Linked DNA regions of Bombyx mori. The protein of the gene in region 3 binds, or shares a complex with, the protein of the main gene of each other region. Links are inferred from orthologs where the notes say so. Each region holds a gene or a part of one and is shown on either strand. Other genes may lie near its edges. The genes, in order: checkpoint protein HUS1, cell cycle checkpoint control protein RAD9A and cell cycle checkpoint protein RAD1.

What was found.
Region 1: the proteins of cell cycle checkpoint protein RAD1 (region 3) and checkpoint protein HUS1 are in contact, whole or in part, in a crystal structure (PDB 8GNN), measured with the Homo sapiens proteins. The link is inferred for Bombyx mori from reciprocal best matches to the Homo sapiens genes RAD1 and HUS1. Residues at the interface, in NP_002844.1 of Homo sapiens: Asn85, Val88, Asp91, Cys92, Ser94, Ile95, Phe96, Gly97, Ser98, Gly127, Val128, Val129, Thr130, Val131, Cys132, Lys133, Ile134, Asn135, Gln137; in NP_004498.1 of Homo sapiens: Thr165, Ser168, Val169, Lys172, Met173, Asn175, Ile176, Glu197, Leu198, Val199, Cys200, Val201, Thr202, Thr203, His204, Phe205, Lys206.
Region 2: the proteins of cell cycle checkpoint protein RAD1 (region 3) and cell cycle checkpoint control protein RAD9A are in contact, whole or in part, in a crystal structure (PDB 3GGR), measured with the Homo sapiens proteins. The link is inferred for Bombyx mori from reciprocal best matches to the Homo sapiens genes RAD1 and RAD9A. Residues at the interface, in NP_002844.1 of Homo sapiens: Glu165, Ala166, Ser168, Glu169, Asn195, Ala196, Gly197, Ser198, Ser199, His200, Leu201, Asp202, Tyr203, Pro204, Asp206, Ser207, Glu211; in NP_004575.1 of Homo sapiens: Leu76, Ser82, Val83, Ser86, Leu90, Lys92, Leu112, Phe116, Gly117, Val118, Arg119, Lys120, Thr121, His122, Asn123, Leu124.

The regions. Positions count from the first base shown.
Region 1 is NC_085134.1:9,690,698-9,695,050, forward strand, and holds the start of checkpoint protein HUS1, read left to right. Parts: upstream 1-1,538; 5' UTR 1,539-1,756; coding exon 1,757-1,808; intron 1,809-1,861; exon of another isoform or gene 1,862-1,875; coding exon 1,876-2,082; intron 2,083-3,385; coding exon 3,386-3,486; intron 3,487-4,353. UniProt on the Homo sapiens protein: Component of the 9-1-1 cell-cycle checkpoint response complex that plays a major role in DNA repair. The 9-1-1 complex is recruited to DNA lesion upon damage by the RAD17-replication factor C (RFC) clamp loader complex.
Region 2 is NC_085122.1:9,591,746-9,595,240, reverse strand, and holds cell cycle checkpoint control protein RAD9A, read left to right. Parts: upstream 1-1,265; 5' UTR 1,266-1,606; coding exon 1,607-1,640; intron 1,641-1,715; coding exon 1,716-2,121; intron 2,122-2,193; coding exon 2,194-2,923; 3' UTR 2,924-2,992; downstream 2,993-3,495. UniProt on the Homo sapiens protein: Component of the 9-1-1 cell-cycle checkpoint response complex that plays a major role in DNA repair. The 9-1-1 complex is recruited to DNA lesion upon damage by the RAD17-replication factor C (RFC) clamp loader complex.
Region 3 is NC_085122.1:11,566,870-11,571,119, forward strand, and holds the start of cell cycle checkpoint protein RAD1, read left to right. Parts: upstream 1-1,374; coding exon 1,375-1,467; exon of another isoform or gene 1,468-1,606; intron 1,607-2,358; coding exon 2,359-2,496; intron 2,497-3,298; coding exon 3,299-3,402; intron 3,403-4,049; coding exon 4,050-4,250. Other genes in the region: zinc finger SWIM domain-containing protein 7-like, read left to right, coding at 359-449, 670-896, 1,251-1,382. UniProt on the Homo sapiens protein: Component of the 9-1-1 cell-cycle checkpoint response complex that plays a major role in DNA repair. The 9-1-1 complex is recruited to DNA lesion upon damage by the RAD17-replication factor C (RFC) clamp loader complex.

The DNA.
Region 1 (4,353 bases), on a different chromosome or scaffold from region 3:
ACTTTTTAAGTCATAGTATAACCACAATTCGTTAGTTTTCGTTACACTCAAAATGGAACATCGCTTACCTTTTTTCGCATACCGTAAAACTCTCGTGCAAGATAGAGACAAATACCTAACCGTAAACAGAAACTTGTCAACATGGATGACATGTTAGCGCCATCTACCTTCAAGACCAGTGACGTTTGTACTCTATGGTCAAAGCTGCCAGATCGCAAAGGAATGGATTCGACTAAATCAAGTTCAAATCATCATCATTCAATCATCAAAAGATACATTTATTAAAAATAATTATCAGTTGAATACATCTAAAATATTCTATTCAACTGATAATTACTTCGAACCAACCATTATTAAAAACGCGATTATTATTATTTAGTCCGCAAATGACCCATGGTACAATGATTCAAGTACCGACAGTCATAATGGTCTGTTAATGCCTTCAGGATGCTGTTAGGGCTGACCCGGACCCGGCGAATCAGGGATGTGCATCTTTTCCGCATGGTCTTAAAGAATCAATCGACTCGTGCTTCGGCGAACATTATAACATTATAACAAGTAGGTACCACCACCCTGCCTATTTTCTGCGGTGAAATCGTAATGCGTTTCGGTTTTGTATTGTGGGGCAGCCATTATAACTATACTTGGGATCTTAGAACTTATATCTCAAGGTGGGTGCATTTACGTTGTCCTTGGGCTCCAGTAACCACTTAACACCAGGTGGGCTGTGAGCTCGTCTATCCATCTAAGCAATAAAGGCTGAATCTTGTTAACAACATTTTCAAGATAAATTTGCATAGATACGAGTTTCGAACCACAACATTAGAACCGTTAGTCTACCGAGCAATTTTATCCGCTCGGTGTAAGATCTTACCTTTTTTGTTAACACCCAAACTACTAAACTCTGTGATAGAGACAGTTACATGTAAATGTATGCACCTATACCTACATATTAAATATTTATCATCGCCAATATTAACACACATTCTTTACAATAGAACGAATTTTGTATCAAACTTCGTCTCACGCTGAAAAGATACTCTGATCTTTTCTTTTAGGTGCTTCCGGCTCACGTAGTATATCCTATACGTACAGATGTAGCAGATTCAGACTGGCGTAAACGAGAGTTTTCTTCTTTAACAGAAGATGATCAACAAAAACGGTAGAAATATCCTAATATTTTCTTACGAGCATCATTCTACATTTAGGGACTAAATCAATTGGCTCTGTAAGATACCTTAAGCACACATTCCGAAAAACTTTAATTAGCTAAAAGTCTCTGTTATTTAAAACACCGTTTAGCAAGAATGTTTAAAATTACAAATTGAATATTGTAGGAGCATTCTTGTCAAAGATCAAAGCCATTACTTATTTCTCGGCTTTCTTAACAGTTTCATCGGGGTATCTCATTATTATTAGTTCACAGAAACTACAGCTGGATAGCCTTCGTTACTTATTCTCAATGAACCAAAATGTTTGCATCATGAAATCACCTTTGCACTTTAAGTCGATTTCAATACTGATAAGAGTTTTTGTGCAGTTGCAATACTAGCCAAATCTATATTGTCAATGCTCACTCAATTTTCGCGCTGCCTAAGTTTTGAAAACAACACAGTATTGGAAAAATAAAACATAAATTACATGTCGAAACTGTGTTTAGTTACTAATTATTATATATCTTAAAATAGTGTGCAATTCATCATCTCATTTTGCACGAATTAAACAACTGTTTTCAAAAGACGAAAAACATATCACTATGAAATTCCGTGCTGTTATGAATAACTCTTCTCCAATACGCGAATTCTCAAGTAAAACTCCGCTTTAATGGTGTTGCTTACTAGTTTTTGATTATTGTAACCAGAATTTTGTTTTCAGCTATTGTTAGTACAATATCAAAACTGTCTAAGGAGTGTGTCCTAAGGATAGCAGACGATATGTTGTATTTCATTGTCAGCGATGAAAACACTGGACCAGCCCCTCCGGTACTATGGTGTGAAATACCACAAAGTGTATTTTTCTCTGAATATCAATTGGTTGGAATGGATGAAACTCACCAAGACATTTATTTAGGATTGAATTCGGGTATTATAATTTCCATTAAAAAGTGCTATGATAAAATAAATAAATTATTCTTGGTGAATATTTCCAATATCAAATGTTTAGATATTGATAATCATTGATATTAACTTAATAGCCATTAAGTTTAAAAAAGTGGTGATCTTCATTCAGGTACATCTTAAATAAATAATAAATTGTTGTTTTCCCAATACCATTTAAAGTTTCATGGTGTCTAGAAATATATAAAATAAAAAAATTTAAAATATAAAGAGTGGAAAAATTTTAGGACTAGCTGACCTTAAGCTTATGCTTAAGATGCCAGACTTCCAGACCCTTAGGGGTTATAATCAGATATTAGAAATCATTGTTTACTTGCACTCCAAAATGTTTTAAATGATAATCATGCAATATTAATAGCTTAAACCTCTTTTCACATGTATTTATATTTTGCCTAGCATTCTTTGTTTAATACACTGTTCAACATAGAGAAAATTAAATAACAATAAACATAAGAGACAATTGAACACAAATGTAATTTAAGTGTTTGGCATGGTTAGGTTGTGTGTGTTAGGTGTTATCTGTAAGATTTTGGTGTTTGTGTGTAGGAATTAGCAGTTTATAAACAGTTCTGAAACTGTTCGTTTTTTATGACAATGTGTTGCACTTTTTTTTTACTTAGATGGGTGGACCAGTTAAGTGGTTACTGGAGCCCATAGACATCCACAATGTAAATGCGTCACCCACCTTGAGATATAACTTCTAAGGTCTCAAGTATAGTTACAACGGCTGGCCAGCCCTTCAAACCGAAACGCATTACTGCTTCACGGCAGAAATAGGCAGGGCGGTGGTACCTACCCGTGCGGACTCACAAGAGGTCCTACCACCAGTGTACTTAAAGTAAAATAATCAACAGTATCTTAGATACTTATTTATATTGAATACTTGAGGACTGTTAGATCGTTTTCCAAGTTATCATAGTTAGTTCTTGTAACCAATCCATCAATTTCATTATGCATCATTTAGTTTAGTTTGCCAAATCACAAAAAACCCTTGATTTTCCTGTAACAACCACCCCTATAGCAAAGTATCAATAACAATGCTTTAAAAATAAATATTACAGACAGACAGACAAAAAATCATGTTACTGTGCAGTAAATTACTATAAGGAATGTTGAATTTTAATGTGTTCCTTTTTTATTGCTAATAAACAGAATCATGGCCCCTCTAAAGCCCATCATCATTCGTGAATATCAGTAATACTAGGAGCATGGCTGTGGCAGATAGCAAAATTGTAAAATGCCGTAATACAACTTACTGTAATTTTCAGGTAATCTCGCAAGATCTTTTGTCTCCTTGAAAAATGTAAAATCATTAAAAATGAAGTTAACAAAGAAACAGTGTCCGTGCCTAACATTGGAAATTGAAGTGGTATGCTTTTAATAAATAGCACCTGTTCACTTATGACTTGGTTAATGTAGACCTAGGAATGACCTTAATAAAATGAAGCCCCACGGATTTGTTAATATGTAACACATTAGAAATCTTGAGTCTTCTAATTGTTGCCTTTATCCCGTAGTGTAGAGGACCTATTCATTCATGTCAGCATGTCCTCTTTCTCTATTCAGACCTATCATACGTTATCTCTGCACTCACACCCTTCTCTCACATGTGCTCTTTCACGCAGTCCATCCAAGTGTTATTAGGCGGTCCCTCATTAGAAATGTTCACTATTAATATTTATTTAGTAACTAGTGAAATTAAATCGCCCTCTGCCGGTACTATTCTTAATTGATTTCCACCTAGTTGATTTATATTCTAAATACTATTGCAAGTTTCATAAGATGTAGAATGTAAGAATGTGTAAAAAACATGCATTCATTTTTATTGAAATCAAAGACTACACTAATGTTGTAAGTATCAAGTTCCAGTATAGTGCTTATTTCGATTTTTAAACAATCAAACGCACCCCCGCCTTTGGATTAAAATTTGTCAATACTATTTGAAAGTGTTGTGTTTATTCACAGTGCATTTGCAGAGATATTTTCCACATACCATCTGGTTCTGCAATTAACTCACCCCTTTCCTTAGCGCTATGACATGTGCTTCTTCAAACAAGGCTTACAAAGAGTACTTAGCGGTTGCAACTTGGCTGTGCCTCTGGCATTGCTGACATTGCTTCATGTATGAGGGCAACTACTCCCCATCAGGTGTCCACAAGCCTGTCTGTTTACAAAGGCCATAAAAAACGCTGCATTGCTATTTGCATCTTGTTAGTCTTCAGTCGTGTCTAATAAA
Region 2 (3,495 bases), about 2.0 Mb from region 3:
GAGCGAGTACTCACTTAGCGATAACTAACTGTAATTATGATTCGAAAGTCCTGCCTATTGCTATTGTGACCAGATAAATATTAAAAAACCCTCTTTTAAAATAATTTATATATACATGCATACCGTAATTTCACAATAGATTTTATATGATTATCATTCACCCTAATACACAATAAAAAAGAGGATGGTTTGTTTATTTCTACTTTGTATCTGTTGTTTAATATAACCATAGGGTAGTATAAAATAGGTAATTTATTATTAAACAATAATAAATAAATTAACATTTTCTCTTCCTCTTTATTGATTTTGTTACAATGGTACTAAATAAAAAAATGTGTGCGTGTACTAGTGTACACACGTAAGAAGTGAAACTTGTTTATGGCCTTATTTTTCGAAAAATGATCTACATGCAACTTTCTAGAAATTGGTTAAATAAAGTTAAATTAGATAAAGTTTAAACAAAAGGATTTTATTATCATAGACAATAGACATGAATACAAATAATACAATTATTTCACTTTACCTTTTTGCTACTAAGATTATTACAGCATTTTAATAATACATCTCTTTGATATCATAATACCCTGGTACTTTTCTTCCTATAAATTAATAATAATAGCACGGTCCACGTGGTGTTAAATGGGGTTCCTGAGGTTCGTGAAGTTTGACCCACCTTGAGACATGAGGTCGATTTCTCAAATCCGAAACCATGCTTCAGAACATACCGCCGTTAATTATTAATAAATCTCTTTGCTATCATAATACCCTGGTACTTTTCTTCCTATTATTTTACGTAATAACAGTAATAAATAGCACGGTCCACGTGATATTATTAAGTGGGCTCCCTGAGATTATTGGAATTACAAAATGATTTCCGTAATCCACCTGGAGACATGAGGTCAATTTCTCAAATCGGAATCCATACTTCAGAACATACAGCCGTTAATTAATAAAGAAGGCTGTACGTCAGAGTAAAGTTATAATAATACATCTCTTTGATATCATAATACCCTGGTACTTTTCTTCCTATTATTTTACGTAATAACAATAATAGCACGGTCCACGTGATATTAAGTGGGTTACCTGGGATTATTGCAATTACAAAATGTATTCCGTGACCCACCTTGAGACATGAGGTCGGTTTCTCAAATGCGCATCTATACTTCAGAACATACAGCCGTTAATTAAAAGATGGCGCGTAACGGAAAAAAGTGACGCGTAACCGAAAAACGTGACGGTAAATTTTTTTCCAACGCCGATAAGGAAGTTTCACTTCAAAAATATTTCTGTATAGTCAAACCATCAATAGTCAATCTATCAATATGTAGAATAGTTTATAAATATTTACAGTACAATTTTTAAAATAATCATGTGGATTAATTTTCTTTGGATCATTTGGATCATTAAATTGTCGTCGCATCACGAGAACTGTCAAATATCTGTCACTCGTATCATCCTAATAATACCTGGTATCTCAGTAGGTCAGGATCAGGAAATTAGACAAAAAATTATAGTGAAAACATAGGTAATCCTTATATTGATGTTAAAGCCTAGAAATGAATTTAAAGTAGATTTTAGTTAACTTTCTGAGGAAGTCAACATAACAATGAAGTGTCACGTTCCGGGGCCTAATGTTAAAGGTAATATAAAGTGTGTGTTATCAATACTGAAATTATGCTGGCTCGGAAACGAATATAATTTTTATATAATTTTAGTTTTAGCAAGAACAGTACATACCTTAGCTCGATTTGGAGATGAATTATACCTGGAGTCATTACCCGACTGTATATTATTGAGAACATTGAATGCAGCCGAATCCGCATATGCGATGATTAAATTTAACAAAAACTTCTTTTCTTATTTTAATTACAATTATTACTCGACTGAAGATAACGAAGGTCTGAAATGCAAAATATCGATGAAGTCTGCTTTAAACGCCTTTAAATCTCCAGCTCACATTGATAAACAGGTAGAAAGTTTGGAAATGAAATTAGATCCAGAATCTTGCAAGTTAATATTTTGTTTGAAATGCAAGCATGGTATAGTTAAGACACATTTTGTATCAATATTAGACTGTAAAGCGATGCAGGCTGTGTACACTAAAGATACAGTACCAAACAGGTAAAAATTGTAACCAAAATAAAATATTAATTTATTTTTATCACTGTTAGATTGTAATGAAATATTTTTCAGAATTACTTCACCTCAAAGAATACTAAACGAAACACTGAACAGCTTCCAAACCTCTGACGACCAAGTGACATTAGAGGCCACAACTAAGTCACTGGTAATAAAAAATTATATTGATAGTAATATGGATCTGACAAAAATAATTCGAACACATGTAAGCTTAGATCCTGCTGAATTTGACAACTACATCATAGGAGAGGAAACCACTATAACATTTACATTAAAAGAGTTCAGAGCCCTACTTGCGTTTGCTGAAGCATTAAATTTGCCGTTGCAACTTCATTTTGAGACTACAGGTCGTCCAGCTGTATTCATAGTCCATAATGGAACTACTTTTGAAGCACATTTTGTGTTAGCAACATCTAAACCAGACAATGCAACACAAGCAACATCAACACAGAGCACTACCACAAAGGAAAGGAATAAAAGAAAAGATACATGTAATACTCAAGGCTCAGTAAAAAAGAAACGGCATATAGATGTTGAATTTTCTAAGTGCTTAGAAGAGGACTCTCATCTATTTAATTTTGTTGATATCCCTGATGATATAAATCTTAAAGCTAGTAATAATTTAGATAATGTTAAAGAACAAATAGACTTTGATAATGTTATTCCAGCATCTCCAACTTCAAGGACTAAGATAAAATCAGTATTTAAGAGATGTTTTGAAAGTACTTTTGATCCAAAAAGTATTCAAGGTGTCATTTTAGCTGAGAATTCAGACAGTGAATAAAAAAATAATGTTTTTAAAGTTGTTTGAAAGCAGATTAAAAAAAATTAAAATATTCCCAATTTTCATCAATATTATCTTATCTAATTTTCAGCAATATAATATGGTCTTATTACATTTGTTGGGAGACTCATAAACCACTTCAAAGATTATGGCTGATGTTTGGTTAATAATTTTGATTAGAGATCTCCCCACAAAATAATATGATTTATATTTTTTATGTTTTCTTAAAGGCATAAAAGGATTCAAATAAAATATAGAGTTCACTGCATTGATTTTATAGCAAAAAATATACATACAGAGAAACAGTATACACACATTACAAATCAACGATCATGATGTAGACCAAAATAGGGGTTCATCACTATGCATTTCTCACTATATATGTATTTATCTCGGTAACAATATGTATTGATTTTATATAAAGCGTATGTTTAAGACACCATCTCAACTCTTTGAAACAAGATACAAAACTCAAAAGCTTAATGATTTAAAAAAACCTACTTCATTGCTTTAAGGCAAAGTGAAATTGATACAATTTTTACAGAAAGTAGTTTTTATTTATTGAAAGTATT
Region 3 (4,250 bases):
TCATTTCATTTCATGCCATGTTTCATATTAATCAACTTCATTTCATTAATTTTTTGTTAATAAGTTTTTGTTAATAATAAACGATAAATTATTAAAATTTCATTAATAATATCATTTTTTTTATTAAAATTAAAATAAAACTTGACCTAAGGGTCTTAGTTACCAGGTCATAAAATCCCATAAAAAAAAAACATAGGTTTGTCAACTTTTGTATGACAGGTTCATAAAAACTTTAAACTTATTTGGTTAAACTGAGAAGTGTATGTAAATTAAATTAAGCCTCGACCCATCTCCTAGAATTGAGAAATCCATGTAAATTAATGTAAATCTGGTGATTATATTAGCTTTGATTATTATTATGAGGATTTCTGAATCTAAAATACCAGTTATCGCGGAAAGTATTTTGAAACAAATTGAAGCCCGCGTAAAAAATACAAATTCAAATCAACGTAGGTTCGAATCATATTTATTTAAATGATTTAAACTAACAAGAGAAATCGTCCTCAAACTTTAAATTGACATTTCCAAAGCGAAAGTTTTAACTTGTAACTACGAAATTATCAAAGTTAATTAATTGATTAATGTAGTTAAGACATTACACAGTATTATGAAAAAATAAGAACAGCTTATAAGTCTAAAGATTACATTTAACGGTATTTATATTTACAGTTTCAGATGAAGATTTGTTAGCTTTACATTCCATATTCGGTGTAACTTTGCAAAGGTCGCTGGAAATATTAGAAAAGCACCCAAAGTTTATAATTTACACGAATCCAAAAGGCCGAACATTGATCGAAGTTCAAGGGGACAACGGCCGCTGCTATAGAGTGTTCCCGAAAATAAACTTCTGTCCGTGTCTTGCTTTCAAAAACCTTGTTATTGAACGGAAAACTGAGGTTAGTAATGATTCAACACTTCCTGAAGACAAAGGAAATTGTTCGAGACAGCCACAATCTATCATAAATACTGCATACTCAATTGAAGACAGATCCAACTTTAAATTTTCAATTTGATTAAAACTTTTCAAACGTTCCAATTTTGTTTAAAAAATTTCTAGTTTTATTAACAAAACCATTTAATTTTCATAATAATTTAACCAAAACAAAACATGTAAGTTGATTTAATGGTATTCTTTGAGAATACATACATTTCATTGAGAGACTTCTTTAAAGTTAATTAAATATAAATAAAGGTGAAACAAAAACAGTAAAATGGTCTTGTTCTGAATAATATATTTATTTATTTATCAGGTCACATGTAAACACGTTTTGGCAGCTAGACTGGCCCAAATATTAGAGCGGACCAGCCCACATTCAGTTACACATGATCAATACCTGATGTTATTGAAGTCCATGTTTGACCTGACAGAAGAAAATGGCTGAAGATTCATCTCAATACCATTTCACGGCTAGCATGGACTCCGGAAAGACTCTGTGTAGTTTATTAAAAGCAATACAGTTTCAAGAGGTAGTCTATGATGTGAATACTGAGTTATTTTTCTTAGTACATTTGAAATGCATTTAAATTCACTCAGAAGTATTTTTGTTATATGTCTCCCAATTAATTAATAGAAAATAAATTTGAAATTTTTATTTAAAAAATTTAATATTATATTTTTTTTTTATTGCATAGATGCGTGGATGATCTCACAGCCCACCTGGTGTTAAGTGGTCACTGGAGCCCATAGACATATACAACGTAAATGCGCCACCCACCTTGAGATATAAGTTCTAAGGTCTCAAGTATAGTTACAGCGGCTGTCCCACCCTTTAAACTGACACGCATTACTGTTTCACTGCAGAAATAGGTAGGGTGGTGGACCCTACCACTACCCGCGTGGACTCACAAGAGGTCCTACCACCAGTAAAAGTAAAGTCAAGGGGGGAAAGGCTGTATGGTTTAGGCAACATTTCGGTTACTATTTATTTTTGGAATTTAAAGTGCGTTTTATTTAGCAGTGGCATCAACAGCTTGTTGCTTTTAATTGAACTTCAATTAAGTTGACTCCATTCAAATAGATGAAGATGTTTCTTGGTCATGATATTTTTTCTAAATTTTAAACTTTACATGGCTTGCCTGTAAAGTTGCAAATATGTCGCTTAAACCAAATAGCTTTTCACCTGTCGAAATGTTTATTAAAACCAATAATGTAGTATGTATGGTACATCTTTTTGGTACAATGCTGTAATTATTATCGGTTTTACAGTATCAGTTGGATTTGATATAAGTATTATTATGAACTTCTAAAATACAAGCAAGCAAAATATAGTCATGAATCTCCAATTAATTGTTTAAATAGTTACTCGCATTTATTTAAATGGGTGGTAAGTATTAAATTATCAATGCCTTTTATTTCAGTCAGCAGTGTTCTGTGCTCTACCTGAAGGTTTGAAGTTAACAGTGGAGGAAGGCAAGTGTGTTCAAGCCTCAGCTTATATACCGGCTGACAACTTCACAGAATACCATGTTAGGGATGATGTAGATGTCATATTTAAGGTTGGAATACACAAATATAAAATATATTAGCTGTCCACAATCCTCGAATTCAAACTTAAATCATTCATTTTAAATTCAATATATATTAACTTAACAAGACATACTTCTTGATTATCAATTATAGCTGTTTTTTAGTGTTCTTATAAAAATTATAGGTTCACCTTGATTGAAATACTATAATGATAATTTTCAATGCACCTCAAAACGATGCCTCCAATGAACACTACGCTAACTCCTAATTCGTAGATTTACAGGAGGAGCGTTTAAATGAAAAAAGTTGATTCTGAATGATGAAAAATCTTTATTATTGCAGATATATTTATGTTTTTTTTGTGTAACTAGCTGATTTAGTCTTGCTTCGAACCCCATCAATAATGATTAATTGTAATACTTTTATCATAGTGAAGCGATTTGCAAGAAAAACGAAAAATTCAAAATTTTGAGTTAGAGTAGTGTTCATTGGAGGCATCGAAAATTACAAATAAAAAAATACAAAATTAACAAATCTGGTACAGACTCAATCTGATCCTGTCATCTGTTAGATAATTAGCAACTTTACAGTATACATTACTGCACAAATAAACTTTGATAAATTAGTTAAGCCTATGTACAAATAATTGAATATCTACTTGTACTTTTGTAACTCCTCATAATTCCTATCTAAGTTTATCAAAATAAGACCCACCATTTCAAAGGAGAATGGAAGAGTCAAAATTCAAACCAAGTCATTCATGAATCTTATTTGATGTATGCTGTGTGTCTCTATGTATGTTCAGTATAAACATTTTTTTGTATGTTTCAGATCAGCTTAGCAGTTTTAGCAGAATGCTTAAACATATTTGGCTCGGGTGAAGAGGCCAGCTTGAAAATGTATTACAAATGTGAAGGATCCCCGCTGTTACTTGTGTAAGTTTATACATCAGGATAATCTCCTTTGACGAGCTTACATGGAAGCTGACAACACCAAATTCCTGGTGTGCTCAGCAACTAAAAAAGAGTTCTTAAATGCAGAAAAGGTACAGTCTGTTTGTATCTACATTAGCAACTTGGGTGCAATAAGGATGAGCTAAAGTATCTCCGCAATATCTATTGAGAGGATTTTACATCGTCATAGCCTCTTAATAAAAAAATATTATTACTATTGCCGGTAAGAGTAACGCCATCTATTATCAAATATCAAAAACACATATAAAGTGACTAATATTATCGGGAATGTTCTCGATAATGGTAGACTTGTTTTGTCGACCATAAAAGCGTTGCAGAGATAAAATGAAGGCTCGGCGAGTCAATTGACCCATAGACACAGCCCATTGAGTTTCTCGCCGGATCTTCTCAGTGAGTCGCGCTTCCGATCCGGTGGTAGATTCTGCGAAGCACTGCTCTTGCTAGGGTTAGTGTTAGCTAGTCTTCAGGTTAGAGCCCCGTGAGCTCACCTACCCTTTCGACGAATCTAATATGACCCCTCTAGGTCATTAGATTTAGAATAGGTAGAAAAAAAAGCAATGGTTGTCATGTACTAAAAATCAGGAGCTATAAAAACACTCTCGTATCAGCTTACAGCCTCAGTCGTTTCGTAACGTCATGACGGACTGCGAGATATGGAGCCAGACCCCAGATTCGATGCTGGAGCTTCGCAGTCCCGAGGAGACGGACGTGGCGAAGCTCGTGGTCCGCGCCGGAGCCCTACTCGCAGTACTGGGGGACGTCGAGAGGAGTGCCGATGTCTTGGAGTTGAGGTTGCAGCCTGAACCGCC